7 linked regions of the Ovis aries genome follow. The protein of the gene in region 1 interacts with the protein of each later gene in a pairwise test. Links are inferred from orthologs where the notes say so. Each region holds a gene or a part of one and is shown in the gene's direction. Other genes may lie near its edges. The genes, in order: FSD2, CORO1A, SPATC1L, SH2D4A, TLE5, LENG1 and FAM107A.

What was found.
Region 2: the proteins of FSD2 (region 1) and CORO1A interact in binary tests that used the Homo sapiens proteins (3 or more experiments, as listed by UniProt). The two-hybrid records come from large-scale screens. The link is inferred for Ovis aries from reciprocal best matches to the Homo sapiens genes FSD2 and CORO1A.
Region 3: the proteins of FSD2 (region 1) and SPATC1L interact in binary tests that used the Homo sapiens proteins (3 or more experiments, as listed by UniProt). The two-hybrid records come from large-scale screens. The link is inferred for Ovis aries from reciprocal best matches to the Homo sapiens genes FSD2 and SPATC1L.
Region 4: the proteins of FSD2 (region 1) and SH2D4A interact in binary tests that used the Homo sapiens proteins (3 or more experiments, as listed by UniProt). The two-hybrid records come from large-scale screens. The link is inferred for Ovis aries from reciprocal best matches to the Homo sapiens genes FSD2 and SH2D4A.
Region 5: the proteins of FSD2 (region 1) and TLE5 interact in binary tests that used the Homo sapiens proteins (3 or more experiments, as listed by UniProt). The two-hybrid records come from large-scale screens. The link is inferred for Ovis aries from reciprocal best matches to the Homo sapiens genes FSD2 and TLE5.
Region 6: the proteins of FSD2 (region 1) and LENG1 interact in binary tests that used the Homo sapiens proteins (3 or more experiments, as listed by UniProt). The two-hybrid records come from large-scale screens. The link is inferred for Ovis aries from reciprocal best matches to the Homo sapiens genes FSD2 and LENG1.
Region 7: the proteins of FSD2 (region 1) and FAM107A interact in binary tests that used the Homo sapiens proteins (3 or more experiments, as listed by UniProt). The two-hybrid records come from large-scale screens. The link is inferred for Ovis aries from reciprocal best matches to the Homo sapiens genes FSD2 and FAM107A.

Annotation. Positions count from the first base shown.
Region 1 is NC_056071.1:22,359,729-22,362,835, reverse strand, and holds part of FSD2 (fibronectin type III and SPRY domain-containing protein 2), read left to right. Parts: intron 1-1,855; coding exon 1,856-2,032; intron 2,033-3,107.
Region 2 is NC_056077.1:26,650,126-26,654,759, reverse strand, and holds the start of CORO1A (coronin-1A), read left to right. Parts: upstream 1-1,478; 5' UTR 1,479-1,635; coding exon 1,636-1,991; intron 1,992-2,447; coding exon 2,448-2,646; intron 2,647-3,788; coding exon 3,789-3,911; intron 3,912-4,008; coding exon 4,009-4,138; intron 4,139-4,224; coding exon 4,225-4,409; intron 4,410-4,567; coding exon 4,568-4,634. UniProt on the Homo sapiens protein: May be a crucial component of the cytoskeleton of highly motile cells, functioning both in the invagination of large pieces of plasma membrane, as well as in forming protrusions of the plasma membrane involved in cell locomotion.
Region 3 is NC_056054.1:266,611,052-266,615,029, reverse strand, and holds part of SPATC1L (speriolin-like protein), read left to right. Parts: intron 1-1,120; coding exon 1,121-1,471; intron 1,472-3,978.
Region 4 is NC_056079.1:37,630,907-37,634,884, reverse strand, and holds part of SH2D4A (SH2 domain-containing protein 4A), read left to right. Parts: intron 1-2,960; 5' UTR 2,961-3,155; coding exon 3,156-3,336; intron 3,337-3,978. UniProt on the Homo sapiens protein: Inhibits estrogen-induced cell proliferation by competing with PLCG for binding to ESR1, blocking the effect of estrogen on PLCG and repressing estrogen-induced proliferation. May play a role in T-cell development and function.
Region 5 is NC_056058.1:18,531,046-18,534,404, forward strand, and holds the end of TLE5 (TLE family member 5), read left to right. Parts: intron 1-71; coding exon 72-134; intron 135-1,356; coding exon 1,357-1,431; intron 1,432-1,513; coding exon 1,514-1,735; 3' UTR 1,736-2,608; downstream 2,609-3,359. UniProt on the Homo sapiens protein: Transcriptional corepressor. Acts as a dominant repressor towards other family members. Inhibits NF-kappa-B-regulated gene expression. May be required for the initiation and maintenance of the differentiated state.
Region 6 is NC_056067.1:63,980,640-63,985,278, forward strand, and holds the start of LENG1 (leukocyte receptor cluster member 1), read left to right. Parts: upstream 1-1,448; 5' UTR 1,449-1,474; coding exon 1,475-1,606; intron 1,607-2,964; coding exon 2,965-3,144; intron 3,145-3,761; coding exon 3,762-4,024; intron 4,025-4,527; coding exon 4,528-4,639. Other genes in the region: TMC4 (transmembrane channel-like protein 4), read left to right, coding at 1-121, 219-374, 613-691, 788-856.
Region 7 is NC_056072.1:42,903,856-42,908,633, forward strand, and holds the start of FAM107A (actin-associated protein FAM107A), read left to right. Parts: upstream 1-1,594; 5' UTR 1,595-1,711; exon of another isoform or gene 1,712-4,778. UniProt on the Homo sapiens protein: Stress-inducible actin-binding protein that plays a role in synaptic and cognitive functions by modulating actin filamentous (F-actin) dynamics. Mediates polymerization of globular actin to F-actin. Also binds to, stabilizes and bundles F-actin.

The DNA of each region.
Region 1 (3,107 bases):
TCTCAGAGTCAGGAGGATCTTCTAAGGAAGAAAGGACTTAAGCGGCCAGAGGGGCTGCCGATGAACAGCTGCATCTAGCCTCCCTGCCTGCGTCCTGGACTGTCTCGTAACTGTCTCTTCTCTGACGCTGGCTCCTGCTGACCTTCTTACTGCATGTGTTACGCACCTACTGCCTGTCCCCTGGTGGCTCAGATGGTAAAGACCGTAGGAGACCCTGGTTCAATTCCTGGGTTGGGAAGACCCCTCGGAGAAGGGAATGGCTACCCACTGCAGTGTTCTTGCCTGGAGAATCCCACGGACAAAGGAGCTGGCGGGTTACAGTCCACGAGGTCACAGGGAGTTGGACACGACTGAGCGACCAGCACGCACGCCTGTGGCGGCTTGTGGCGGCAGAGCAGCACAGAGTACAGTGGAGCAGCGTTACCCTTCCTTGCCTCCACCCATTCAGCGCGGGATTGGCGGGGCAGAGAGGAACAAGAAGCAATCAAGTTCTTACCTGCGCTGAGAAACAAAATGAAACTGAGCAACTCTGAAAGTGCTTACTGACTTTTTCCCAATAATTCTTGAGTTGGGCAGCCCCTAATCTAGCAGGTAGAAAGGAGGTCCAAGGAGCTGTACAGAATGAAAGACTTTTTCAGGTGGAAGGGATCAGGAACAAGGAAATTATATTTCCAGGCAAAAAAGGCAGGTTGGCTAAATGTCCACCGGCAGAGGAGTGCATAAGGAAGCTGTGGCCCATGCATACAAGAGAATACTACTCAGCCACTCGAAAGAATGGAATAACGCCATTCGCAACAACGTGGACGGATCTAGAGGTTGTCTTACTGAGGGAAGAGTCAGACAGAGGAGAAATACCATACGACATCCCTTTTATGTGGAATCTAAAAAGAAATGACACAAAATTACAAAACAGAGACTCACAGACTGAGAGAACGAACTTATGGTTGTCAGGGGGTAAGGATGTGGGGAAGGGATAGTCAGGGAGTTTGGAATGCATGTGTATAGACTTCTATATTTAAGATGGATAATCAACAAGAACCTACTGTTATGCAGCAACCTGAATGGGAAGGGAGTTTGGGGAGAATGGATACAGGTATATGTGTGGCTGAGTCCCTTCACTGTTCACCTGAAGCTATCACAACATTGTTTGTTAATTGGCTATACCCCAATACAAAATTTAAAAAAAAAATTTTTTTTATTTTAAAAAGCAAGTTGGCTGTGGTAAGGTTACTTTCCTTTAGGAAAGGTCAGGGGTCTCTCAAGCATATTACCTAACTAGTGTTCTGATTGACTGGTTTAAAATTCCATTTAGGTGAAAGGTAAAACTGTAACTAAGTTGTTGCTTACTGGTGACATGGGGCTTGGCACACAGAACTCCAGTTTGGGCCTGTGGTCTTGTTCATTCAATATTTATTTATTTAGCTGCACTGAGCCTTAGTTGCAGCATGTGGACTGTTAGCTCCAGGGCAGGAATCGAACCTGGGCTCCCTGCATTGTGAGCACAGTCTTAACCACGGGACCACAAGGAAAGTCGTCAATCTCTTTCTTTTTTAAGGAACAAGTGAACCAAATCTTTTTGTTACTCTAAAAAGCCCGGTTGCCGAAAAAGCACACAGAGTGGGCTTGTCTCCTCCTCACCTGTGGCCAGCAGTGTACTAATCTTCTTCTGATCTTCAGCATCGGGCAGCTGAGCTTTGAGAGCAAAGGTTGTGCCGCCTTACAAATGAGGTGTTTGAACACCTGCCTCCACCCTTCCTGACCACTTACTGACTGACCCTAGCAGTTGGTGTCACTCACCTGCACAGCCAGGCGTGGGTCACCCCAAATGACACATACTTCTACTTTCTAAAATCAGGTGTGCTGCAGTCATGGGAAACCTAATTCCAGTCCGAGGGCGCCATTACTGGGAGGTAGAGGTGGATGAGTGTTTGGACTACACGGTGGGTGTGGCCTTTGAAGATGTCCCCAGACAAGAGGACCTGGGGGCAAACCGCCTCTCGTGGTGCATGAGGCACACATTTGCGTCATCAAGGTAAGGCGAAATCTGGGTACCTGAGATCAAAATGTACTTTGGTAGGAATAGAGGGAGAGGTTTTCACTGGTAATAACTAAGGTCCATGTTATGTTTTCTAAAATATGCTAAGATGTTTCAGGACTCATTTCCTGCCCCTTTCCCTAAAGTCCAGCTAGAAAGAGAAAGCAGCTCTGGGTACTTTTGATAAAATAGCTAAAATTTATGGAGCGCTTATTCTGTGTTAAGCATTGCTCAACAACCTTGCACATACTATCTCATTTGTCTCTCACAGCTGTATTGTCCCATTTACTTGTTTTGGCTGTGCCGGGCCTTTGCTGCTTCCTGGGCTTTTCGCTAGTGGCACCGAGCAGGGGCTACTCTCCAGGGCAGTGTGGGCTTCTCATTGCGCTGGCTCCTCTTGCTGCGAGCGCAGGCTCTAGAGCATGTAGGCTCAGTAGTTGTGGCTCCTGGGCTCTAGAGCGCAGGCGTAATAGTTGTGGCACTCTTGGGCTTAGTTACTCTATGGCATGTGGGACTTTCCCAGACCAGGGAGGGAAACTGAGTTTCCTGCATTGACAGGCGGATTCTTTACACAGAGCCACTGCCAACATGGATTCAGGGCTTGGATTCAAACCCAGGCAGTCTGGCTCCAAAGACAGCATTCTTTACCACTAAGTGATTGGTTTTACATTTATGTTCAACTTCAGTGTTACTAAATGAAGTTTGACTTGAAGTCCCAAGTCCAACTTTTTTGGTAGATGTGGGCAGAAGCTTAATGGTTATGATTAATTCTGGTTTGCTTCTGCTGCTAAAAGCATTCTGTCTTCTAATGGAGGAAAATCCACAAGGCCCAGGCCAACAGACACTTCCGACTCAGAAGGCCATTGAGTGCAACCTCCCTCCATCTCAAAAATTGCAAAAAATTTTATCACCTCACTCTCCCAGTATCGTGTGTACTATGGGGCCTCTGACCCTCAACTTGCTGAAACCTATTAATGTTTCACACAGTGAAACCTCGATCATGGTTAGTTAAATGTTGCCATGCCCGAGCAAAGGTGAGACCAGCCTTCCTCCTGTAAGGTATTAGGACTAA
Region 2 (4,634 bases), on another chromosome or scaffold:
AGTGGCCTTTCTTGACCTTCACATGGCAACCTCCGTGACACAGTCTCTGAACCAAAGGATGGGAATGAACCCCTTCCTCGAGTCTCAAGCCCAGGCTCCGGCCTCTGCTTACTTCTTGGAGCTGTTATTTGTGCTTCTCCTTCCAGCGGGCTGAGAGCTCTTTGGGGCAGAAACTCTGACTCTTTCACCTCTATAACACCAAATTATATCATTTGCCCCTGGGAGACAGGCAGGGCGGGGGTGCTCCTAGGTGAAGACACACCGAGAGGTTAAGTGACCCTCCCAAGGCCACCCATTTGTGCCTGTAGGGGCCTGAGTAGACCCCAGGTCTTCTGGGTGCAGGTGGACACAAGGTTCCCCCTCCTCTTTGCCGCTCGGCCTCCACTTGTTTCCTGACTGGAGGTGGGGCAGAAGGATGGTAACACAGCCTTTGCTTGGGATGAGGGCTATACTAAGGCCCGCTTTGAAGGGACTGATGGGCCATTTTATGGATGCCAGGGAAAGGATGGCGAGTAGGCTGGGGGTGGGCTGGAGAAGGGAAGAAGGAACAGGTTATTTTTGCATTTTTGACATTAAAAAAGTGCAGATTAGATTCTCAGCCACTGGCCAGCAGCATCTGTTTTGGTTTGGAATTGGCAGCTGAGGCGCTGAGCGCCGCGGCGGGAAGGGAGGGGAGGCTGCGGGCTGGTGGGCGAGGCGGCGCCTTGGCGGAGGGAAGGGCTCTCCCCTTTAAGAGCTCCGCCCAAAGGGGCGCTGCCACCCCTGAGGAGGCGGGCGCCGCCGCTTCTCATTCATTGTCTTGACAAGAGCATCCTCCGCGGACGTTCTCAGGCTCCGCCGGCTCCTTCCTCCTCCTCCTCCTCCTCGCCCTCCTCCGTCTGGGGGGTCGCTCATCTCTCAGCCGCAGGTAAGGCTGGAGCCCGGCCACCCGGGCTCGGCATCGCTGCCCTGGGCCACCTGTGGGGCAGGCGAGAGCTTGGCAGAAGCCGGCCGTGGGGGTGGACAGACTGTCAGAGCCGCTGGCTCCGAGGTGGAGACGGGGCCCGTCCACGCCCCGCGTGGAGGGACTCGCCTGAGCGTGTGGGTGCGCGTGGGAGGGTCCACCCGTGTGTCCCAGAGCTCCGTGAGGGGGCGAGGGTGAGGGGCCACGCAGCCAAGATGGAGGTGGGGGAGCCCGGGGGTCAGGACACCCGCCGGCCTCTCCCCAGAACGGGAGTCTTTGGGGTGGCGGTGGGGGGCAGGGTGGGGTGAACCCAGTAGCTGCCCTGAGCTTGGAGACAGGAAGGGGTTGAGAGCAAAACAAGAAAAGGCCAAGTTCCCCTTTCCGTGGTTTCCGGGGCCTGGTACCTGCGGTGGGGGAGGAGGCAGGGTGGGGCGATGGCTTCCTGTCTCCCAGCCTCCAGTTTGGGGCTCCCCTGTTCCCAGACCTAAGCTTCCCTCCCGGAAGGGTCCCCTGCCCCCAGCCAGCTCCTCCTCTCACAGGCGCCTCATCCGCTTTCTGGACAGGTGGACCCACAAGCCTCCTCCAGAGTCCCAGGGTAGGTGAGGGTGGCAGGAGCTCCAAGGGAGAAGGGCTAGGCACGAGGGAGGTGGTGGAGGAGAGGCCGTGGGGCCCCCACACCAAGCTGGCAGGAGATGCTCTGGGGCCCCAGCATGAGGCCTGGAGCCTGGGGAGCCAGAGGCAGGTCCCTTGGCTCTGCTCGCTGTCCACCCAGCCATGGAGGAAAACCGTTCTTGCTGCTCCTCCGAGAAGTGAGCACCAGCCGCTTCCTTCCTGTGGATGGCTTCAGTGGGGTGGAGAAGGCCCTTAAGCGCACCTGCTTAAGTGGGGGCGAGAAGCTGAGGTGTGAGGAGGAGATGCTGGGACCCGAGCCATCTGCCTGCTTCTGGTGCCCAGAGACCCGCTGGGGAAGCCCTCCGGCCATGGGGGACATGCCGCCCAGGCAAACCCACATGCCATTTCCTTCCGTGTGTCCAGCCTGGACCTGGAGGTGGGGAGGGCCCCTGCCTTTTAGATGGCTCCTCATGTGGGTGTGAGGGTGTGAGGTCTGGACGCTGAGGCTGAGTGCACCCTCCACACTGTTGCCCTGAGGCCCTGGAAGGTGGCCCGTCAGAGAGGATGGGCCCTGGGACTGTCAGCCAGTCCGCGGTCAAGTTGGCACTAGGTGCTACCCCTCACCCCAGGCTCTGCTGTGGAGGCTGAGGGTACAGAAGCCAGGCTTGGGACGGGTTGAGACGGTGGGCCTTGCAGGTCAGCCAGGGATGAGGAGGGGTGGGCAAGGCGTGTATAAGGGTAGCTGGATGTCAGTGACAGAGGAGAGCGACAGGGAAGTTAGCTGAGACCATGGCTGCCAGACTGAGGGGTGGGTGTCCTGGGAGAGATGGGGGCCACTGGAAGGTCAGGGTTGACCTGAGGGGAGCAAAGCCTTTCACCCCTGTCTCACCAGGATGAGCCGGCAGGTGGTCCGTTCCAGCAAGTTCCGCCATGTGTTTGGACAGCCGGCCAAGGCTGACCAGTGCTATGAGGATGTGCGCGTCTCACAGAACACCTGGGATAGTGGCTTCTGTGCTGTCAACCCCAAATTCGTGGCCCTGATCTGTGAGGCCAGCGGGGGAGGGGCCTTCCTGGTGCTGCCCCTGGGCAAGGTGAGCCCCTGGAGCCCTGGGGACAGGCCCTCCTCCTAAGGGGGCCTCAGGTGATCTAGTTGGCCCCCTGGGGGTCCCGATGAGGTCTGCGGCTCAGGACAGTGGGCCGCAGTGTTGCCCTCTGCAAAACTGGGTTGAGCCGCATGAACCTTACACTTCCTCCAGCGCCTCCATGCAGTGCTTGGATGGAGCTGAAGCTCAGGGTTGGGAGTGACACGGGAAGTGTCAAATAGCAAGTCCTGCAGACCCAGGGTTAGCCCTCCCAAGTCTCAACCTGGAGCTTTCTCCTGCACAGAGAGGCCTGGGATGGGGTCTGAGTGGGCCCAGCAGTGCTCTTAGGGTTTGGAGGGACCTCTCTGAGGCCCTGGGAAGCCAGTGAGCTCAGTGGCTCCCAGCTCACAGGCAGGGATGAGGTAAGAGACCCTCTCCCCTCGCCAACCCTGGCCTCCCTCAAATCCTGCCCTCCCTGCTGTCTGCGGACCCCCCCGCCCCAGCACACTCCCGTGCTCTTGGGGGGTGAGACAGGAAGGGGAGATGGGCCCTCGGTTGTTACCTTAAAAGGGCTGATGGAAACATAGAGAAGAGGAAGTGGTTGTCAGAGTAAGAGCTGGGCCCGCACTTCACACAGGAAACCGTGCTGTAGCAGCCGTCCCCGGAAGCAGCCATTTCAAACCCGTTATAACAGACTTCCCCATCCTTGTCCTTTCGGGGGGACCTGTCCCCACAGCCCCATCATTCACACACACTTCCCTGGGGAACCCCAGCCCTGATACAACCACACCCTCAGCCTGAATCACGCCGGGGGCCTTGGCCTGTTGTGCCATGGAAGAATCTGGGGTGGGGGTGAGGGCGGGGGTACCAGGCCCCGGCTGAGATGGAGCTGGCAGGAACTTGGCCAGGGTCTGAGAGAGGGGCAGGACCAAGCCCGCATGTCCATCCTGCGCTACCTGTGGCCAGCCTTCTGAGTTGCCCAGACAGCTCTGAGATGGGCAGAGCCCCAAACCCTCCCACCCTAGGTCCCTCTCTGCCTTCCAGGGACCCCACACCTTTCCCCTCTGTGCCTCTCTGAAGGGGTGTGGGGAGGTGGGATTGGGTTTGGCGGGCCAGAGCACCTCCCTCAGAGGCCCCGCTGTGTCCTCCAGACCGGCCGTGTAGACAAGAATGTGCCTATGGTCTGTGGCCACACGGCCCCGGTGCTGGACATCGCCTGGTGCCCGCACAATGATAACGTCATTGCCAGTGGCTCCGAGGACTGCTCCGTCATGGTGAGTATGGGGGGCACCCAGGGGCCAGGAGGGGGCTCAGGCACTGGAGCTGATGTTGGGCACCGCCAAGACTCACTTGCTCGCCCCTTCTCTGCAGGTGTGGGAGATCCCCGATGGGGGCCTGACACTGCCCCTGCGGGAGCCTGTCGTCACCCTGGAGGGCCACACCAAGCGCGTGGGCATTGTGGCCTGGCACCCCACCGCCCAGAACGTGCTGCTCAGTGCAGGTGCCAAGGGCGGGACGCAGGGAGGGCTGGTTGCCTGACAGTCAGGGGGGAGGCTCCTGGCTTCTGACACTGGGGACATCGCCCAGGTTGCGACAATGTGATCCTGGTGTGGGACGTGGGCACGGGGGCGGCCGTGCTGACGCTGGGCTCCGACGTGCACCCGGACACCATCTACAGTGTGGACTGGAGCCGAGATGGTGCCCTCATCTGTACCTCCTGCCGAGACAAACGAGTCCGCATCATTGAGCCCCGAAAAGGCACCATAGTAGCTGTGAGTTGCCTTGACCTTTGACCCTAGGAGCTTAACCCCCCACCCCCCACACCCCCAATGAGGCCCCCTTAGATGTTGCCCACTCCAGCTCCCAGCTGGGGCCTGGCCCTTAGAGGGTGTGTGCGGATGCCTGACCGGTCCCCTCCCTTTCCTTCCAGGAGAAAGATCGTCCCCATGAGGGGACTCGGCCCGTGCGTGCTGTGTTTGTATCCGATGGAAAGATCC
Region 3 (3,978 bases), on another chromosome or scaffold:
TTGACTCTGACTCATTTATAGTTTAATATGGTTTGAAAGTTTTGATTATGTGTATATGTATGTGTATGTGAAGTCGCTCAGTCCTGTCCGACTCTTTGCGACCCCGTGGACTGTAACCTACTAGGCTTCTCTGTCCATGGGATTCTCCAGGCAAGAATACTGGAGTGGGTTGCCACTTCCTTCTCCAGGGGATCTTCCCGACCCAGGAATCGAACCCAGGTCTCCCACATTGCAGGCAGACGCTTTAACCTCTGAGCCACCAGGGAAGTTTTGACTGAGGATTTAAAAAATTGTTTTATGTTTCACACAACTTTGTTAAGCCTTGGGAATAACAGAAGGGAATTTCAGTTCACTAAATAGAAACTAAAAGTGAAGTGCAAACACACCTGACCGCACAACAATCCCTTTAAAATTAGGTCACAGATATGGCACTTCCCCAAGCCCACGAGTAGAGTTTTCCCGGCCCCTGCCCAGGGCTGGGATGGCCTACCTCCCCTGGGAATATGGGAGTCCTGAACAAAGGGGCCCAGGCTTCTGGGACTGAGCCAGAGGAAGAACAAGCACCGGGGGCCCTTGCTGCCTCACTGCTGTGACTTCCTGATGGTTCCTGGGCCGTGTGTCTGGCAGGGGACACACATGAGGGACGCTGACCACCACTCTGCTTTTACAAGGAATGCTGGAAACAGTCCCATGTGCAGCAGGGTGGGGGGGTGGATGAAAAAAATCCATGTGTGTGTGTGCATGTATGTGCAGATGTGTGCCCATGTATGCACGTGTGCCAGGAAATGGTTCAGTGAACCATAGAGCTACCCAATGACACACTCATCATGGATAAATCTCAAAAAAAGAAGTTTCATAATAAAAGGAGCTGGACGATACCATTTATATAAAATTTAAGACACATGTAGGTCACTGTCACAGTGTGTGGACACACAGTGGGAGTGTTGGAGGCCATACGTGTGCTGTGCCTCTGAACCCGGGGCTGCTGGTGTCCTAGGATCCATCGCCTCCTCCAGAGGGGAAGTGGGGGCAGATGTCAGAGCTGGGGGCAGGGTCTCTGCAAGATGCAGGTGCTCCAGGAGCCTCCGCCTCACAGCTTGTTCCTCCTTCCCTGCCCCAGTTCCAGACTTTGGAAGGTTCACCAGTGGCCCTGATGCACCCTCCCAGCTGCAGGGGTCCTCCCTGGAAGACCTGCTGTGCTCACATGCCCCCCTCTCCAGCGAGGATGACGCCTCTCCGGGCTGCGTGACATCCTCCCAGGTGCCCTTCAAGGCTTTTCTCAGCTCCCCAGAACTGCGTGCCTCCCGAGGCTCCGACCGAAAGCTGTCCCCGCTTCTGAGCCCCTTGCAGGACCCGCTGGTGGAGAAGACCCTGCTGGAGACCCGGGAAGTGGGCCGGCCCAAAAAGGTGTGCTTCTCAGAGAGCAGCCTGCCCTCGGGGGACCGAACCAGGAGGAGCTACTACCTGAATGGTGAGGAGGGTGAGCAGCAGGCAGGAGTGGGGGGTTGGCCGCTGGGGAGGGCCCAGCTTCTGCATCCAGCCAGCAGCCGGAGAAGGAGAGTGTGCCCATGCTCCTGGGATCTGGAGCCCTGTCTGTACACATCTTTTGACCATTTAAATAAGTGAGTAGCTTATCTTCTTATGATTGAGTTGTGTATTCTGGATACCAGACTTTTTTGGTACATGTTTTGCAAATATGATCCATGAAGGGGGAGGGGGTATCCTTCCCTCCTCCAGTGGACTACATTCTGTCAGAACTTTTCAGTATGACCCACCCATCTTGGGTGGCCCTACAAGGCATGGCTCATAGCTTCATTGAGTTATACAGGCCTCTTTGCCATGACAAGGCTGTGATTCTGCTTCATTGACTACACTAAAGCCTTTGACTATGTGGATCACAATAAACTGTGGAAAATTCTGGAAAGTAAACTGTGGACATGGGAATACCTTACCTTACCTGTCTCCTGAGAAACCTGAATGTAGGACAGGAAGCAACAGTTAGAACTGGACGTGGAACAACTGACTGGTTCAAAATTGGGAAAGGACTATGTCCAGGCTGTATGTTGTCACCCTGCTTATTTAACTTACATGCAGAGCTCAGTTCAGTTCAGCTCAGTTGCTCAGTCATGTCTGACTCTTCGGGATCCCATGGACTGCAGCATGCCAGGCTTCCCTGTCCATTACCAACTCCTGGAGCTTGCTCAAACTCATGTCAGTTGAGTCTGTAATCCAACCATCTCATCCTCTGTTGTCCCCTTCTCCTCCTGCCTTCACTCTTTCCCAGCATCAGGGTCTTTTCCAACCAGTCAGTTCTTCTCATCAAGTGGCCAAGTTCTTTCTTTTCAAGTGGAGCTTCAGCACCAGTCCTTCCAGTGAATATTCAGGACTGATTTCCTTTAGGATTGAATGGTTGGATCTCTTTGCAGTCCAACGGACGCTCAAGAGTCTTCTCCAACACCACAGTTCAAAAGCATTAATTTTTCAATGCTCACCTTTCTTTATGGTCCAGGTCTCACATCCATACATGACTACTGGAAAAACCAAAGCTTTGACTAGCCAGATCTTTGTCAGCAAAGTAATATCTCTGCTTTTTAATATGCTGTCTAGGTTAGTCATAGCTTTTCTTCCAAGGAGCAAGCGTCTTTTAATTCCATGGCTGCAGTCACCATCTGCAGTGATTCTGGAGCCCAGGAAAACAAAGTCTCTCACTGTTTCCATTGTTTCCCATCTACTTGCCATGAAGTGATGGGACCAAATGCCATGATGTTTGTTTTTAGAATATTGAGTTTTAAGCCAGGTTTTTCACTCTCCTCTTTCACTTTCATCAAGAGGCTCTTCAGTTCCTCTTTGCTTTCTGCCATAAGGGTAGTGTCATCTGCATATCTGAGGTTATTGCAATCTTGATTATAGCTTGTGCTTCATCCAGCCCGGCATTTCTCATGATGTACTCTGCATAGAAGTTAAATAAGCAGGGTGACAATGTACAGCCTTGACATACTCCTTAACCAATTTGGAACCAGTCTATTGTTCCATGTCTGGTTCTACATGCAGAGTACATCATGTGGAATGCTGGGCAGGGTAAATCACAAACTGGAATCAAGATTGCTGGGGGAAATATCTCCAGGAGTTTGTTCAAATTCTTGTCCATTGTGTTGGTGATTCTATCTAACCACCTCATGCTGCCCTCTTTTCCTTTTGCCTTCAGTCTTTCCTAGCATCAGGGTCTTGTCTAGTGAGTCAGCTCTGTGCATCAGATTACCAGAGATTTGGAGCTTCAGTGTCAACATCAGTCCTTCCAGTGAATACTCAGGGTTGATTTCCTTTAGGATTGACTGGTTTGATCTCCTTGCCATCCAAAGGGCTCTCAAGAGTCTTCTCCAACACCACAGTTCAAAAGCATCAATTCTTTGGCTTTCAGCCTTCTTTATGGTCCAACTGTCACATCCATACATGAATACTGGAAAAACCATAACTTTGATCATATGGACCTTTGTTGACAAATTGATGTCTCTGCTTTTTAATATGCTGTCTAGGTTTGTCATAGCTTTTCTTCCAAGGAGCAAGCTTCTTTTCATTTTATGGCTGCAGTCACAATCTGCAGTGATTTTGGAGCCCAAGAAAAAAAAAATCTGTCACTGCTTTCAATTTTTCCCCTTCTATTTGCTATGTTCAAAATCCCTCAAGCTAGGCTTCAGCAGTATGTGAACCATGAACTTCTAGAGGTACAAGCTGGATTTATATAAGGCAGAGAAACCAGAGATCAATTTGCCAACATCTGTTGGATCATAGAAAAAGCAAGGGAATTCCAGAAAAACATCTGCTTCATTGACTACAAAATGATCATCTTTGTTGTGATCTTTGTTCAGTGGTCCTTAATGTTACTATCGTAATTGCGTTGGGACACCAAGGACTATGCCCATGCAAGACAGAAAACTTAATGCGTAAGTGTTGTGGGTGTTCTGACTGTTCCACTGACCA
Region 4 (3,978 bases), on another chromosome or scaffold:
GGTGAAGTCTTTACCAGCTGAGCCAAAAAGGAAGCCCAAGAATACTGGAGTGGGTAGCCTGTCCCTTTTTCAGGGGATCTTCCCGACACAAGAATCGAACCAGGGTCTCGTGCATTGCAGGAGGGGTCTTTACCAGTTGAGCTACCAGGGAAGCCTGATTCTGGGCTCCCGGAAAACTCCGTGCCCCTGACTTGGAGCCAGACGGCCGGGCACACCCCCTCCATCGTCTTGTAGGAAATGGGGATGGTAAGGGGCTGAACTCCAAGGTTGGGATGAAGATTCGTTAGTTACTGCCTTCACCGCTCATGGTCGGTCGTGGCTGCGGCTGGGGTCAGCGTCTGAGACCAGGAGTGCGCCAGGTGGGGAGGGGAGAGCGGATTCAGCCCTTTCAGGGTTTTCCTGTTTAGGTGCTGCCTGCCCTGTCCCTGTTGCTGGGAGTCGCCCAATTCCAGACTGGGGGATAGAGCGGAAGCTTCCAACTTCCCTGGGCAGCTCCTCTCCCCTGTGTTTTATTTCTGTGAAAGTCAACCCCTGGTCAAGAAGTGTCCCGGCGTAAGGACCTTTACCGGAATGTCATCTATAGCTTTTATTATGTTGAGGTGTGTTCCTTCGGAATGTCAAGGACTCATTCACTTTGGCTTCTTAGCACTTGGTCTCCAGCACTGGAGTCCAGTGAGTGGAGGACTTACCTTCTTCCTGCTGTTCTGACGCCTACAGACAAGAGCTCAGCCTCTGGAAACCCCCGTCAAGTGTAGATTTAGTTGTGCCCCTCTCCTGGAGACCGCAGAGTCAGGACCGCATCGCAGGACATCAGTGGTGTGGCTGTTAGAGCCTTTGAGGGTCGCCTCAAAGCAAAATACAAAGCTAGCCAGGCAGCCTGGGGCAGGCGTGCCTGACTGAGTTAGAGTCGGACGGTGCCTTTAATTCTTTTAAAAATTTCTCTAAACACTGTGTTCCATTTGAGCCCCGGGTAACTGAATGCTACAGATGGCAGGACGCAGATGGCGAGGGTCGTGGTAGCCTCAGTAAAGGTCCCTGCTACACAGGGCATGTTAGTGAACGGAACTACATGTTGTTGGTACTCAGGGCACCCTGGGTACCCTGGCTGTTGGGCTGTTGCTTGTGCTTCTCTGAAAAAGCTGGTGTAAATGGAGAAACAGCTGCGCAAGGAGGTGGAGCAGGAACGAAGCTGCAGGAGCCTCCCGGGCGTGAGAGGAGTGTGGCAGCCTGCCTGGAGGTGACCAGGAGAAGGGCCGGGGGTGACTGGCCATGGGCCTGGGAGGGCCGCCGTGTGGCTGAGCGACTGGTCTGAAGCTTAAGAGCCTTTGAAGTTAGTTTGGAGAAAGAAGATATTTGAGAGGGCGTGGCCAGATGGTAGGATTGTTAGTCTGTTTCTTAGAACATAGGTGATCCTGCAGAGTTGAAATAAATAAGCTTTTTGTGGATTTCTTATTATATTGGAACAAAATAAGCATTCTGTTTTTCCCCCCAGAATGGAAATGTGTACATCATTTTCTCCTAATGACAAAAATGTGAAGGTTTGCTATATTTTTTGAAAATAGACCAAATGGAAACGTGTGAAGTAGAACACGTCTGCTGAGGAGTAGGTGCCCCTGTGAAGTCACCTGTGTGCTCAGGCCCAAGGCTCCTCCATCTGAGAAACTGTCTTACAGAGCGAGGACCCTTTGTGATGAGCCTGGTCACCCCTTCAGTTCAGTTCAGTTCAGTTGCTCAGTCGTGTTTGACCTTTGCGACCCCATGGACCGCAGCACGCCAGGCCTCCCTGTCCATCACCAGCTCCCAGAGTTTACCCAAACTCATGTCTGTCCAGTCGGTGATGCCATCCAACCATCTCATCCTCTGTCATCCCCTTCTCCTCCTGCCTTCAATCTTTCCCAGCATCAGGGTCTTTTTCAAGAAGTCAGTTATTCATATCAGATGGCCAAAGTATTGGAGTTTCAGCTTCAGCATCAGTTCTTCCAGTGAACACCCAGGACTGATCTCCTTTAGGATGGACTTGTTGGATCTCCTTGCAGTCCAAGGGACTCTCAAGAGTCTTCTCCGACACCGCAGTTCAAAAGCGTCAATTCTTTGGTGCTCAGCTTTTTTCACAGCCCAACTCTCAAATCCATACATGACCACTGGAAAAACCATAGCCTTGACTAGACGGACCTTTGTTGGCAAAGTAATGTCTCTGCTCTTTAATATGCTGTCTAGCTTGGGCATAGCTTTTCTTCTAAGGAGCAAGTGTCTCTTAATTTCATGGCTCCCCAGTTTATCTGGTCTGTAAATTTAGACCCTGTGAAATTAGGGTATCTGGAAGAGGCACGCCTAAACCCTGGTGCCCTTCCAAAATGCATGTGAGTGCCCTGTCCTGCTCTGCACGGTTTCTGTGGTTCTGGTGAGTTGTCTGAACACCGAACTGTCCATCTGTGAAGATGACAGCGCATAATTGTTTGTATTAACAGCCACTTGTAAGGGAAAATGGGAAAATTGCATTATGGTCTAATTTTTATTTCTTCTTTATTTCTTCCTTAAGCCTGGCTTGGGTTTGGGTGGGTAATTCTCTGAAATCTCAAAAACAGTGTTTGCTTTTGAAGTACGTTGTTTGGAGAGAGGCTTTTAATTTCATCCTTGCCTTTGTCTCTTTAACTGTTTTTAGCTGTGGACGTGGTGGTTTGTTGAGCTCGGAAGTAATCGCATGTTTGCTTAGTTGGGAGACAGCCAAGCCTCTGTTAATTTTTTGTTTCCCTGAGAGTGACCGGTAAAAAGTTAGGGTTTATTTTTTTGTTTTTTTGTTAAAGTATCTTTGGAAATTACAGGATACAGGTTACACAAAACTCTTAACAAAGCTTGCCTGAAATAAAGGCGGATCTGTGTTTCTGCCAAGCTTGCTCCTAAGCCCGTCCTGGCCTTTGTACCTTCTAACACAGTTGCATCTTGGCGGTTGCTCTTTGCAGGTTCATGAGTGGCGTTTTGGACAGGGGGCCCGGTGTGGGAACCCAGAGCCAGTTCGCTGAACTGCCGCCGTCCCAGCCCCACGAGCGTCTGGGAAGGTCTGTGGGTGCCCCCCCGTGCCAGCCCAGGGGAGGCAGCCCTGGAAGCCGTTCTCAAGAACTTTTGCCTCAGGTGCAAAAGACTCCAGCCCCGCAAAGATGCTGAAACAGATCCTGTCGGAGATGTACATAGATCCTGATCTGCTGGCAGAGCTAAACGAGGAACAGAAACAGATCCTGTTCTTCAAGATGAGGGAGGAGCAGGTCCGCCGCTGGAAAGAAAGAGAAGCAGCGATGGAAAAACAGGAGTCCCTGCCAGTGAAACCCAGGCCGAAGACAGGTAAGCGGAGCTCACTCCTCCCGGAGCCTCCGCGGCGGGCGGCCTCCCTGCTTGTTTGCATGGCTCACACTGGTCAGCAGCTAGCCGCGTCTGAGGTCTGGTTTGGCAGGCAGACCCTCAGTGTTACTGAGCTTTTCATGGTGCAGTTGATTAGCCTGAAGCACGCGCGTGCGTGCGCGCGCACACACACACACACACACACACACACACAAGCAGCAATACTCTGGAGTGGTGAGGCTGAGAGCAGATGTCTTTCTTGAAACCGGACTGACCTTAAGCTGCAGTAAAAAGTCACGTGGAGCTGAACTCGAGGGGCATGTTCGGGTCCACCTCCTCTTATCCCAGATGCCTGGTATTCTGCTCTGCTGGGCTTAGTTGCTCAGTCGTGTACAATTTGCGACCCCATGGACCGTAGCCCGCCAGGTTCCTCTGTCCATGGAATTCTCCAGGCAAGAATATTGGAGTGAGTAGCCTATCCCTTCTCCAGGGGATCTTCCTGACCGAGGAATCCAACCAGGGTCTCCTGCATTGCAGGCGGATTCCTTACCAACTGAGCTACCAGGGAAGCCCCTGGTATTCTGCTACCAGCATGCAAAGTCTTTACGTCTGCATCTCTCTAGAAATGCTGTTTCCATTCCGTAG
Region 5 (3,359 bases), on another chromosome or scaffold:
GGCTTTCCAGGGCTGGTCTGCACCTGCCCTGGCTGGCTGCTGCCCAGGGCTGAAGTGTCTGTCTGTTCCAGGCTGAAATCGTCAAGAGGCTAAATGGGATATGTGCCCAGGTCCTGCCCTACCTGTCCCAAGAGGTGAGCAGAGCCCCCGGGGGTCTGCTGGGAGGAGATAGACCCTGAACTTCCCTCAGCCCCACCCCTCTGTAGGCATCTGTGTGCCCCAGGGCACACGACTGCCTTCTCTGGACCTCCCAGCCATCAGCCAGTCTGTGCAGGAGAAACCCCAGGGGTGAAGGGAAGGACCTCACCCTGCTGTGGAATTCCCAGCCTGCGTGAGTCATTGCACCGTAAAAACGTCAGCTACATTGCCGAACACTGCACCAAGAATTTTGTTTCTGCCTTTCACCTTCCTGAGATTCGTCTGCCTGGTCCTGCTGGCCGCTGGGTGTACAGGAAGGCACTCTGCACACAGAGGCAGACATACAGACAGACACAGATGCAATAGACAAATGCACAGATGCAAAACATAGACACACAAGCACATGGACACGCAAAGGTCTATGCACCCAAGTCTTCCTCTTCTGTTTCCTGGGATTCTCGGTGTGAAGCCCACTGTACGCGCACACACACGTCTGGGTCACGTAAGACCCCTCTGCTCTCTGCCAGATTTACCGCTGATAATTCATCATTTCCTTTTTAAACTCTGCTGGTACCTTAGGGTCCCACAGGGGATGATGCCCAGGGACAATTCCAGGAGGACACCATGGAAGCCCCAGAGAAGGAGATTCTTAGGGCCCTGAAAATCTAGCTTTATGGTTTCCTTTCATAGCAGGGGCTCCCTGGTAGCCAAGGCACAAAAGGAGCTTGGCAGATTTTAGCATCTGATAGCCAAAGAGACAAATTTTCAGGGAAAGCTGGGGATTGCCCCGAACCTCGACTCGTACCCCAGCTGTGCCAGAATTCACTGGGCCTTCACGGCTGCGGAGGAAGAGGAGCTTGGGTTAGCAGACCTCAGATCTCTTCCATTAGCAGTCCTGGTCTGAGCTCTTAACAAGCTTTGACTTCTTTGCATGTGGCATTGGTCATAGTCCACGGTTTCCTAAGATTCTGGTACCAAGCCCTTTGGGCCTTCTGTGCATCTCTATGTATCCCATTTTCCAGATGAAGAGACTGAGGCTTTGTGAAAGGAATCACCTGGAGAGAGGGGAGTTTCCTGAGGGGAGAGATGGGAAATCGAGGAGAGGGAGGGCTCTAACAGTGCAGATGGGAGTGGGACTTCTGGGCTCTGTGCCACAAATCCCAACAAGACGGGGTGAATCATCTGTCACCTCTCCATCCCCCACCCCCCACTTTCCAGCACCAGCAGCAGGTCTTGGGAGCCATCGAGAGGGCTAAGCAGGTCACTGCTCCTGAGCTGAACTCCATCATCCGAGTACGTCTGGGGTCTTGTGGGGGGATGGGGGAGGGACAGGTGGGCTCAAGGGGGCTAATGCTCCCCTGTTTGTGTACTGCAGCAGCAGCTCCAAGCCCACCAGCTGTCTCAGCTGCAGGCTCTGGCCCTGCCCCTGACCCCCCTGCCTGTGGGGCTGCAGCCCCCTTCTCTGCCGGCGGTCAGCGCGGGCACCGGCCTCCTCTCTCTGTCAGCGCTGGGCTCCCAGGCCCACCTCTCCAAGGAAGACAAAAACGGGCATGACGGTGACACCCACCAGGAGGACGACGGCGAGAAGTCGGATTAGTGGGCGGCTGGGATGGGGAGGGTGGGGGGTGGGACAGAGGGGAGACAAACACTGAGAGAGAGGAAGGTTCAGCACGCGAGACACAGTGATAGCTTGGGATTGGCCAAACTCTGGTAGTATTTATGTTAGCTGCCTGCTGGGGCTGTCGCCCTGCTTCTGTGCCCTACCCTGGCTTGGCTCCTACCCCTAATTCCTGGCCTCCTCCTCCCCTGTAGACTGAATGGGTCAGTACCCACTCATACCACAGATGAGGCAAGCTGAGGCCTGGAGACATAGGGGAGGCCAGGTCCTAAGGGAGCAAAACCTCAAGAGGTCCAACACCCCCTGCATTTCCCTGATTCACACACATGTAACTGACAGTCTGCCCGCCAGGAGGGGGCCCCCACCCCAGCCTCCCATTCTGGCACTGCATGCAAACACAATGCTAGCTGCCCCTCCCCACCCTGGGCACCCCGCGTCTCCCCCTCCCACCCACTCACCCTCCATGAGTTCCTGATGCCCGCACCCACAAAAGAAAGAGGGGCCACCGACAGCAAGCTTAGCCCCAGGGCAACAGTGGGGCCAGCAACTCAGAACTCCCTTTCTCCCCTTCCCGAATAAAGATGAGGGTACTCAAGTTGTCTTGGTTTTTATTCCCCCCCCCTTTTCCAGTATACTAGCTTGTCTTTTAAGAAAAGGGATATTAAAAAAAGGAAAAAGACAAAAATGTTAAAAAAAAAAAAAAAAGCAACACCCACACCTGTGTCTGTATATAGCCTTTTAGACTGTCAGCTTTTGTTGTGTTCAGTCGTTTGATCTCTACGGAGAGAAGTGAAAATGCTGTATCGAGGGTGGGCTTAGCTGTGCCTTTCAAATAAAGACGTGAGAAGGTTGGTTGCTGTGTTTCTGCCTCTGTGTTGTGGGCTGCCCCGCGGTGACTCCCTTCCCAGGGGAGGAGGGGGGCCTCCTTCAAGCCTCAGGCCCCTCCTCTGTTACGGGACTGGATATGAACAGTCCTGAGTCCAGCTTGTAAATATAATTTAGCTCCTGAACGCAGTCCCTAGCCCAGAGATGGTCAGATGGAGGCTCGAGGTCACACAGTAAAGCCTAGGTGTTTGAGGTCTGGTCAGCTGTTTTGACAAGTAGGCAAAAGGACTCAGAAAAGCTAAGGGGTCACTGAGCATAAGTGGTGGGACTGGTTTCTGAGCCTCAGGCCAGATGGTTCCTAAGTGAAATTCTTTACCCTTAAGAGACAGATGTTAAGACCATGAGCAGTCACTGTGCGTGCATTACAGATGGCTTCTTCCAGATCAGAGAACTGATTCCTGGCTGGACCTCAACTCTCCAAGGACCACTTGGAGCCTGCCTTCACGCCCCTGCATCCAAGCTGGACCACCTGGGGAGGGGGAGCCAGGAGGAAAGGTGGTTCCCTAGGGCACCTGGCACTTCAGTCAAGAGAACATCAGTCTCCCCACCCAGGATATAGGGCTGAGGGCAAGGAGCGGGTTGGAGAGTGGGAGCTGTCATTTTGACTTTGCAGTATCTTCCATCTTGCAAGATCTTTGCCAGGGCTTCTTGGCATAGAACTCTCACTCTCAAGGGACTAGGAGCATGAGGAGACCAGGGAATTCTCAACTATCTGCCT
Region 6 (4,639 bases), on another chromosome or scaffold:
TCTCCACCTGCTCCCCGGCCTCCCGCACCTTTCGAGCCTCCACTGTGAATTTCTTTTTCCCCTTGGTCCTTCTCCTGGGTCTGGCCATCTCCGCGGTTCCTGTGCTTTATAGCATCTTCCTGTAAGTGTGGGAGGTACCGGCCTCTCCCACCCTCCACCCTCCTGTCCAGGGTTCTGACTTTGGGCCATCCTTGACCTCTGCCTATCTCTGATTCCAGGATCCCACCTTCCAAGCTGTGTGGTCCATTCCGGGGTCAGTCGTCCATCTGGGTGGCGATCCCCGAGTCTATCTGCAAACTGCCTCAGATGGCCCAGAATTTTCTCTTCTTCCTGGGTACCCAGGCTTTTGCTGTGCCCCTTCTGCTGATCTCCAGGTGAGGGCGCTAGACTCCTGGGTCTGATTCTGAATGTCTGACCTGGGGTCCCGCTGCCTGCTTCCGAGAGAGAAGGGGGTTGGGGCCCAAACTCTTGGGTCTTCGGGAAGGAGGGGGCTGGGATGCTTCGACTCCTTGAGTCTGAAGGAGGAGGTCCAGACCCCTGCTTTCTAAAAAGCCCTACGTGGAAGATATTCTGAGAACGTTTGCGGAGTGGCTTCCACTTTATCTCCGCTAGCATCCTGATGGCGTATACAGTGGCCCTGGCTAACTCATATGGACGCCTCATCTCTGAACTCAAACGCCAGATACAGACGGTGAGCCAGGCCTGGCCCCTGGGAAGGGGTCCTGGAGAGTATGAAAAAGAACACAGGGGAGAGATGTGTCTCACCTCCCCTCTACCTTTCCCTCAGGAGGCGCAGAATAAAGTCTTCCTGGCACAGCGTGCTGTGGCGCTGAGCTCGGCCGACAGAACTCTTTGACCTCTCCAGCCTGGCTTGGGGTGACGTCCCACTTCCAGCCCCAGACCTGCTCCCAGATCCTTTTTGAGCTTCGTCAACATCATTTGGAAAATGAGTGAACTGGGGAAGACCCCGTGCTTTTCCAGCCCTGGGATTCCCTGCTGAGGCCCCGACCCTCCAGTGAACCTCTTTCTAGTACTGTATCAATGAATCTAGTACTGTGTCAATAAACACAGCGGAGGCCGCTGAGTGCTTTTTAATCTCCGGTCCAGAAGCTGGGGCAAGCCTTCACAGGACATAAACCAATCAAATGTGTGGCTCTGAGAGCGTGGCGGACTCTTCCGCGAGAGAGACCGCGCCAGCCAATCAGCGGCTGCGTTCAGGAGCCTCGGGGCGGGGACACGTGATTGAATCAGAGTCTTGGGGAGCGGCGGTCGCTAGGCGACGCCACGCGCGATTCTCGGAGACGGGGGACGTGGGCCCCGCAGCCAGTCACCTCTCGCTACAGCCCTGGGGGGTCGTGTCAGGCAGCGCAGAGCCAATCCGTGGCCGAGGAAGGAGCAACGGGGCGGGGCCTGCCTCTCGCCAATTGGAAGTGCCAGGAGGTGGGCCTGTCGGTCCGCGGACGGCTGAGGCGCCATGAATATTTTACCCAAGAAGAGCTGGCACGTCCGGAACAAGGACAATGTCGCCCGCGTGCGGCGTGACGAGGCCCGAGCCCGTGAGGAGGAGAAAGAGCGTGAGCGGAGGGCGCTGCTCGCTCAGCAGGAGGTGAGCCCCCGGCCCGGGCGGACGCGGCGCCGCGGCTCAGCGCGCAGGCGCCGGGGAGCGGGGCGGCGCCGGGGAGCGGGGCGGCGCCGGGGAGCGGGGCGGCGCCGGGGAGCGGGGCGGCGCCGGGGAGCGGGGCGGCGCCGGGGAGCGGGGCGGCGCCGGGGAGCGGGCCACCCTGGCGGACCTGGGGCCCGGCTCCCGGGCGGGCTGGGCCTGCGGGCCGTGCCGACGTTCCCCTCGACCTCTCCTTGGTCCTCCTGGAGGGCCGGAGTAGGGGGTCGTGAGTAATCGGAGCCCTGGGCAGTTCACGGAAGCTCGGGCCGCTTGTTACTTTAGCTGTACAAACACCCTGTGCAGTGAGCTCTTGCTGTCCCCTGGCGGCTCAGACAGTAAAGAGTCTGCCTACAGTGCGGGAGACCCGGGTTCGACCCCAGGGTCGGGAAGATCCCCTGGAGAAGGAAATGGCGATCCGCTCCAGTATTCTTGCCTGGAGAATCCCCTGGATGAAGGAGCCTGGTGGGCTACATACCATGGGGTCTCAAGGAGTCGGAAACGACTGAGCGACTTCAGTTTCGCTTTCCCCTGTTCATCCCGTGCAAAGCGCTTGATTTGCAGTCTCTCGAGCCCTGTTCGTTCTTAGCGGGGCGGTTATCTCCCTTCGGCGGAGAAGTGAGATGGCTTCAGAGGAGCCACAGCGAAGCGACAGTGTCTCAAGCCAGTCCCGCTGCGCCAGGCGTGCCTTTTGCCTGCACCGCTGCGCACAAACGTTAGAGAGTCTCTCTAACTCCTCACCTGTTTGGTTTACACCTAGCTTCCAGTCCTTTGACTAATCCGATCGTCAGCACTGGCTGGGAGGTAGTCAGGGTTTTTAAAGCTCACCTTTATCGGACTTCCCTAGTGGCCCAGTGGCGTCCAATGCAGGGGCCCCAGATTCAGTCCTTGATCAGAGAACTAGATCGCACATGCTATAAAACTAGATCTGATGCAGCCAAAGCAATATTTTTTAAGTTCACGGTTATCAATAGAAATTGGAAATCAAATGGGCATAATGACTCAGCGCCCTTCCTGGAATTCAGATCACCTGTCCTAATAGATGTTTTGGCTGCCTTTATAGCTGTTTTCATTGTGTCAGAAATGAAACCCCCTCGTTTACTGTTTGGAAGATGGCTTACAAACCATGCCTTGCCTCACTGCTCCACCCTCTCCCCAGGAATAGTCAGGTGCCTCTTCTGGGTTCCCAGTGCCCCTGCTCCCTTCCTTCGAGCCCTTACCACTGCAGTGGTCAGCACTAGGCTCAAGAGTCCCTTGGGCTACAGCTAGGTTCTGAATGTTCTGCCTGTAACTTTTTTTCCCTCCAGGCCCGCACAGAATTCCTACGGAAGAAAGCCAGGCATCAGAACTCACTTCCTGCACTGGAAGCAGAAACGGGAGCCCCATGCAGTTCTGGCCCTGTGGATCTGTTTCGGGAGCTGCTGGAAGAAGGCAAGGGGGCGACGAGAGGCAATAAAGAGTACGAGGAAGAGAAGCGACAGGAGAAAGTAAGGTGGCCTTACCCTCTTCCTCGGGTCACGGGTGGAGCCAGGGGTGGGGGTGTACCTTGCCCTCAGGTGTGATTACGGGAATATTTAGGGAGATGGTGGGGATTAAACAAGCTAGAGAACTCAGAATAGTATTAGAACATAGCATGTTAAGAGGTGTTGATTATTGCCGGGTGCTAGGTAGACCCCCTCAGGTCTCTAACCTGATGTGCAAACCTTGAAGATGTTGGGAAGTGTTAAGCTTCTTAAAATGTAAATCAGACGCTGTCCCTCACTTGCCCTCGGGGTTTCCTATCAGACTGCCTCCCCGCCCCTCCCCCCTCAGTCACTGCTTTACCTGGCTGGCTTCACAGTTTCTTTTCTATCTCCTCAAAGATGCTGCCTTTGAACCCTAACATAAGCAGTCCCCTCCTTCCTATGCTGTTTGTTGCTGAAGCTGTCCTGGTGCCCCAGAGCAGGGGCACCCCGGGGACTCATCTCTGAAGTCCCAGCAGCTGGCAGAGTCGGCTCCTGACGGGCTCTGCTGGCTGAATGTCTGGTTCTGCCTCTGCGGGAACCCTGGCTGCCTGAGAGGGAACATGCTTCCTGTTCTCACTTTCACATCTTGTCTCCCTCAGGAGAGGCAAGAGAAAGCCCTGGGCATCCTAACATACCTGGGACAGAGTGCAGCGGAAGCCCAGACTCAGCCCCCATGGTACCAGCTGCCCCCTAGGCCGGGCGGCCCCGCCTCTGGTCCTGGGCCCGACGAGAGGATCAAGAGCCGCCTGGACCCGCTGCGGGAGATGCAGAAGCACTTGGGGAAGAAGAGAAAGCACAGTGGAGACAGTGGTGGTCACAGCACAAAGGAAAAGAAGGCGCCTGAGAAACAGCGACCCAAAGAGTAAGGAGCCTCTTTGGCCAAGTGGGCACCACGGGCGCTCTGGCTGAGGCAGGGGCTCTGGGGTCTGCAAGGTCAGGCCCATTTTCGTAACACCGTTGAACGTTTTCAGCCTTGTTCCGGGGTCTGCAGAGACTACATGGTATTTATTACAAGGCCACTGCCCTGGTGGCTGGTGGGCCATCTGCTTGCTCTTGTTCACGTTGTATACATTAGATTCTGGACAGCTCTGAGGTTGTTTCTGAGACCAGAGTTTGAGGAGCAGAGGTTCGAGTCAACAGGCGTTCTTGTGTTCCTAGGATGCCAGACCGCCGAGTGCAGGCTGGCACCCTGGCCAGTCTCCTCACAGAGGAGGGGATGAGCTAGGCAGTGCGCAAGTCCGCCCAGCCGAGGATTGGCAGAGGAGCACTGCCCGTCGAGGCCACCTGCTGGGTCCCAGCATCAAACCCCTGCCCTTCGAGGGGCTGGGCCTCCAGCTTCCCACACTGACTGTACTCTCCCTGCAGGCCTCCGTCCCTGGAGCAGCTGCGAGCGGACCGTCTGCGGCGGGAAGCGGCCGAGAGGGCGCGGGCAGAGGCCCTGCTGGCCCGGGTGGGTGGCACGGCGGCCCCGGAGGAG
Region 7 (4,778 bases), on another chromosome or scaffold:
CACCTGTATGTGATGAATTTACCTCTTCCCTTCTGATTTGGATGCTTTGTATTTCTTTTTCTTGCCTGATTGTGATGGCTAGGACTTCCAATACCATGCTGAATAGAAGTGGTGAGAGTGGGCATCCTTGTCTTGTTCCAGGTTTTAGTGGGAGGGCTTTCAGCTTTTCACTGTTGAGTATTATGCTGGGTTTGTCATCGATGGCTTTTATCATTGAGCTATGTTCCCTCTGTACCCACTTCGCTGAGAATTTTCATCATGAATGCGTGTTGAATTTGATCAAATGCTTTTTCTGCCTCTACTGAAGTGATCCGATGGTTTCTGTCCTTTGTTGATATGGGGTACCACACTGACCAGTTTGCATATGTTGACCCATCCTTGTGAACCTGGAATGGATCCAACTTAATCATAGTGTATGATCCTTTTATGAACTGTTGGATTCAGTTTGCTAATATTTTACCGAAGCAAAATTGCATTTTTAATGCTGGCATTCATGCTGGATGTATGCCCTGGGTCTAATCACTTCCCAACCCACCCAGACTCTTCACGAGAAAGTAGAGGTGGGAAGAGGGCCAAGTTTAAGTGGAGGTCAGCTTCCTCACTAGGGGATTAAGGAATGACAACACAGGCTAGAAAACACGTCCACGTTTCAAGCGAGCGGATTGTGAAACTAGGAGAATGCCTGTTATCTGTAAACACCCACACTGGCCTTTGGTAGCTACATATGCTCTTTATTTTCACACTCATACACTGACTCCTTGAGACGAGACCTTCGGGGCACAGACCCCACCAGGGACGGCGCTGCACGCCATTCACACCGAGTCCAGCTCTCTCCGCAGGAAAAGTCCTCCTTGCCGCGCACTGACGGCCTGCTTCCCGGTGTCAGCTCATCTGTGTTTCTTCTCAACCACTGCTGTTTTCCACACTTGACAGGCAGAAACCAAGGCTCAGGGGTTGCCGACCGGCTGCCCAAGGGGCTCATGCCGGGCTGAGCAGGGGCGAACACCAGGGCTGGTCTGGCCCAGAGCTGGTCAGCGTCCACTCACCCACATCCCCTGGGCGCCATCCTGTGGCTCCCCACTGAGGTTCAGGGCACTGAGGAAGCACCAAGGATGGAGTTGTTGGCCTGTACGTGGGTGACTGGAGTTGATGCAGCCTAGTTTCCCCTCCTTTGCACCAACAGCCGCTTTCCCCTGGGGAGTCGCGCCGGGCAGCAGGAAGCCTGCCCCCCCCCACCCCCACCAGGTCAGGGAGGTGCCAGAAGGCATTCTGGCTGACCCTCCATCAGAAACAAGGGAAATGCCTGTGCCTGAGCCACGCCGCTCAGAACAAAGCTTGGTGTGTCCTTGCCCCTCAATGATCTGACCAAATCGATACTTATTTGCGCCTGCCTCCCCGGCAGTGGGGCTCGGACACAGTGTTCCGCATGGAGGAAGTGGCCGAGCACCAAGTGTAATACCCGTTACTATAGTAACAGTTCCTTTCTAATGATACCAGAATAAACAGGAACGCAGAGCCGCCTCCCTCGCTGGCTCTCTTCATCCCCAGGGCTTGACGAACCGTCCTGTGGAGGCGGCCCCTCCTGGCTCACCCGGGACTCTGGTGGAGCGAGGACCAGCAGCGCTGCGCTCGGAAGTTCTCTTCCCAAGGACACGGGCTCAGCTGAGGAGTAAGACCGGCTCTCTTCTGTCCCCCGTGCTGCTGAGCTGGGGTGCGGTGCCAAGAAGGGGTGTGGCGGGGTAAGGAGGGCAGCCTCCCAGCGCCAGGGAGGCCGGCAGGGGGGCAGAGCTCTTGGAGCCCAGGTGCCACACTCTGCGAGATGACGCGGGTGCCTCTGGGCACCTGGGTTTGGGAAAGGGCTCGGAGAGGCTGTGCCGGGAGCGCTCGGATGCAGCCTCCCCCGCGCCCCGCTCTGGCTGATCTCTGTCTTCCGAATGCTCGGGTGCCTCTGAGTTCATGCGTGGCATGACCTCGCGGCAGCGGTAGTTCTCTTGAGGACCGACAGGTCAGAAGCCGGCCGAGACGGCCCCAGGCAGACAGCTCAGCTCAGGCTCCGGAGCCTTCACTTGCTGGCCGTGTGATCTGGGAAAGACCCCTCAGCCTCAGTGTCTTCATTGGCACAAAGGGGTCTCAAGAGCACCACCTCCTCAGTCCGTCGTAAGGATTTCATGAGGTGCGGCCGCTGCGCGCAGCTCGTGGCACAGGGTGAGGGCACGTCCGTGCGTTGCCCACCTGGGTTTGGCTTCAGCACTTTGCAGTGTGAGGCAAGGCTGGTACTGGGCCAGGAATCAGGGGGCTATGGGGTCGGGTGCGTCACTTTTCTGAACTGCTGCTAAACCCAGCGGTTTCCCCGCTGTGGGGCAGCCCCGGTACCTGCATCTCTGGCCAGCTTGGACGCTGAGTGGCTCTTCGCCCCACTGGTGGTAAGTCCTGCCAGGATCCCCCCGCCAGAGGCACTGGTCAAGTGGGGTGGCTGGCATTATGCCACTGGTGGGCCGACACTGTGCCTTGATCAACTGCACAGGACGCTCCACCCGCCTCGCTAAGGACCTTCCACGTCCAGCCCTGGCCTCTGCTATGGAACTGATTCGAAACCCTGTGTGCCCACCAGACCATCTCACAAACGAGGTCACGGGAGACGCAGGCAGAATGCTGAGGAAGTTTGTCTTGAGCCAGTTTGGTTGGGGGAGGCTGCGTCCTAGTGATCCAGCCGCTCTGGCGGGGGCTTCCAGGCATGGGGGCGGGGGGCTGGAAGTGTGGAAGAGGCCCCCAGATATGCCACGCTGTGGCTGCAGGTCAGGGAAATACAAATGGGCACTCTATCCACTGGGAGGAAAGAGGTACGAAGGTTCAGAAATGCGATGGCCACGCTCGTCACTTTCACTGAAAGCTTCTTTCTCCTTGGTCAGTAGTTAATTTCACAGCTTCCCTTCTCCTCTGCGCGTCCATCCCGTGAAACGCGGAACCGAGGAGATCACTGGCTGTGTTGTAAACGCGCCAGCTTGATCAGTAATGAGGAGCAAGGGCAGGGGGAGGGAGCGCATAAGAGTGAAGACTCAGACAACACCCCGGGAGGCACGGCCACCAGCTGGACTCTGCTAGCAGCCCAGCGGGGCGCAGACAGGCCGGTGGATTCTGGCTTAAGCCCAGAGCAGTGAGGGCCCGGCCTGGGCTCCCCAGTGGGAGGGTGCAGAGTTCCCCAGTTCGCAGCACCGGTTTCTCACTATCAAAGGGCTCCCACTGCCTCTACTGGGCTCTCCCGAGTGTCCAGAGAGGCAAGGGATGTAAAGCTGCCTGGCTGACCGAGGCGATGCCTTGCACCTGGAAGACACCGCAGTGGCAGAAAGAGCACTGGCTTTGCGGCCCAAAGCTTCTGACTTTGCCATTTATTTTGCGTATCTTTGGACAAGTAGCTTGGCCTCTCTGAGATTCAGTTTTCCCATTTAGAAAATGGGAATAATAAAACAGTACCACTGGCTGCCTCCTGGGGGAGACTGTGAGACCCGAATGCAGGCGAACGAGCCTTCATCAGATGTCAGGTGCTCAACACGGGTCCCCTTGGCGGTGGCGGTAAAGAGCCTGCCTGTCCATGCAGGAGACATGAGCGACGCGGGTTCGATCCCTGACTCAGGAAGATGCCCTGGAGGAGGGCATGGCAACCCACTCCACTATTCTCGCCTGGAGTACCCCGTGGACAGAGGAGCCTCGCAGGCTACAGTTGCAGAGTCTGTCGTTGGCTGCCTCTGCCCCACCTCCACCACTTCAGCCTGTCCAGTCCTCACAGCATCTTGATTGTAGAGAGAAGGGTCCAGGAAGTTAAGTTCCCATCCAAGGTCACAAAGCTGCCAAGCACACCGACTGTAACCAGACCCGCCCCGAAGAGCCAGTCCAACCAGTCAGCTGAAATCACTCAGGCCAAAGCAAAAAAAGCTTGTTTTTTTTTTTTTTAAACTCTGTGTTACAAAGTTGTCTATTAGAATCACTTTGGACGCTTTTTATGTCATATTGAACTATACTTACGTTGATTCAATTTCAGGTATGCAACAAAGTGATTTAGTTATACATATATATATATATATATACACACACACACACGTGCATTTAAAAAAATTTTTCCCAGTTAGGTTATTACAGAATATTGAACAAAGTTCACTGTGCTATTCGCTAGGTCCTAATTAATTATGTTTTGAATGTAGCAGGGTGTATACACTTATTTCAATTTATCCCTACTCCCCACCTTTACCGGCTGGCGACCATAAGTTTTCTAAGCCTGAATCTGTTTCTGTCAAGAAGTTCATTCCTATTATTTTTTTTAAAGATTCTGCATGTAAACAATATCATATGGTATGTCTTTATCTGACTGTCTTCACTTAGCGTGATAGTCTCCAGGCTGACGCATGTTGCTGGAGATGGCGTGATTCATTTTGATGGCGGAGTGATACTCCCTTGTATTTCTGTGCTACGTCTCCTGGGTCCACTCCTCCGTGAGCGGACATTTAGGTTCCTTCCATGTCTCGGCTACTGTCGGTAGTGCTGCTGTGAACATTTGGGTGCATACATCTTTCTGAATTACAGTTTCCTTCCCTTTCCCAGGAGTTGGGATTGCTCTTTTTCGTTTTTAAAACTTTTCAGTTTTTTTTTTTTTTTTTGCAGAACTTCCATACTGTTTTCCAATTTACAGTCTGTAAATTGGTACATGCTGTAAGTTGGTACTGTACCAATTTACATTGCCACCAACAGTGTAGGAGGGTTCCTTTTTCTCCATACCCTCTGCAGTA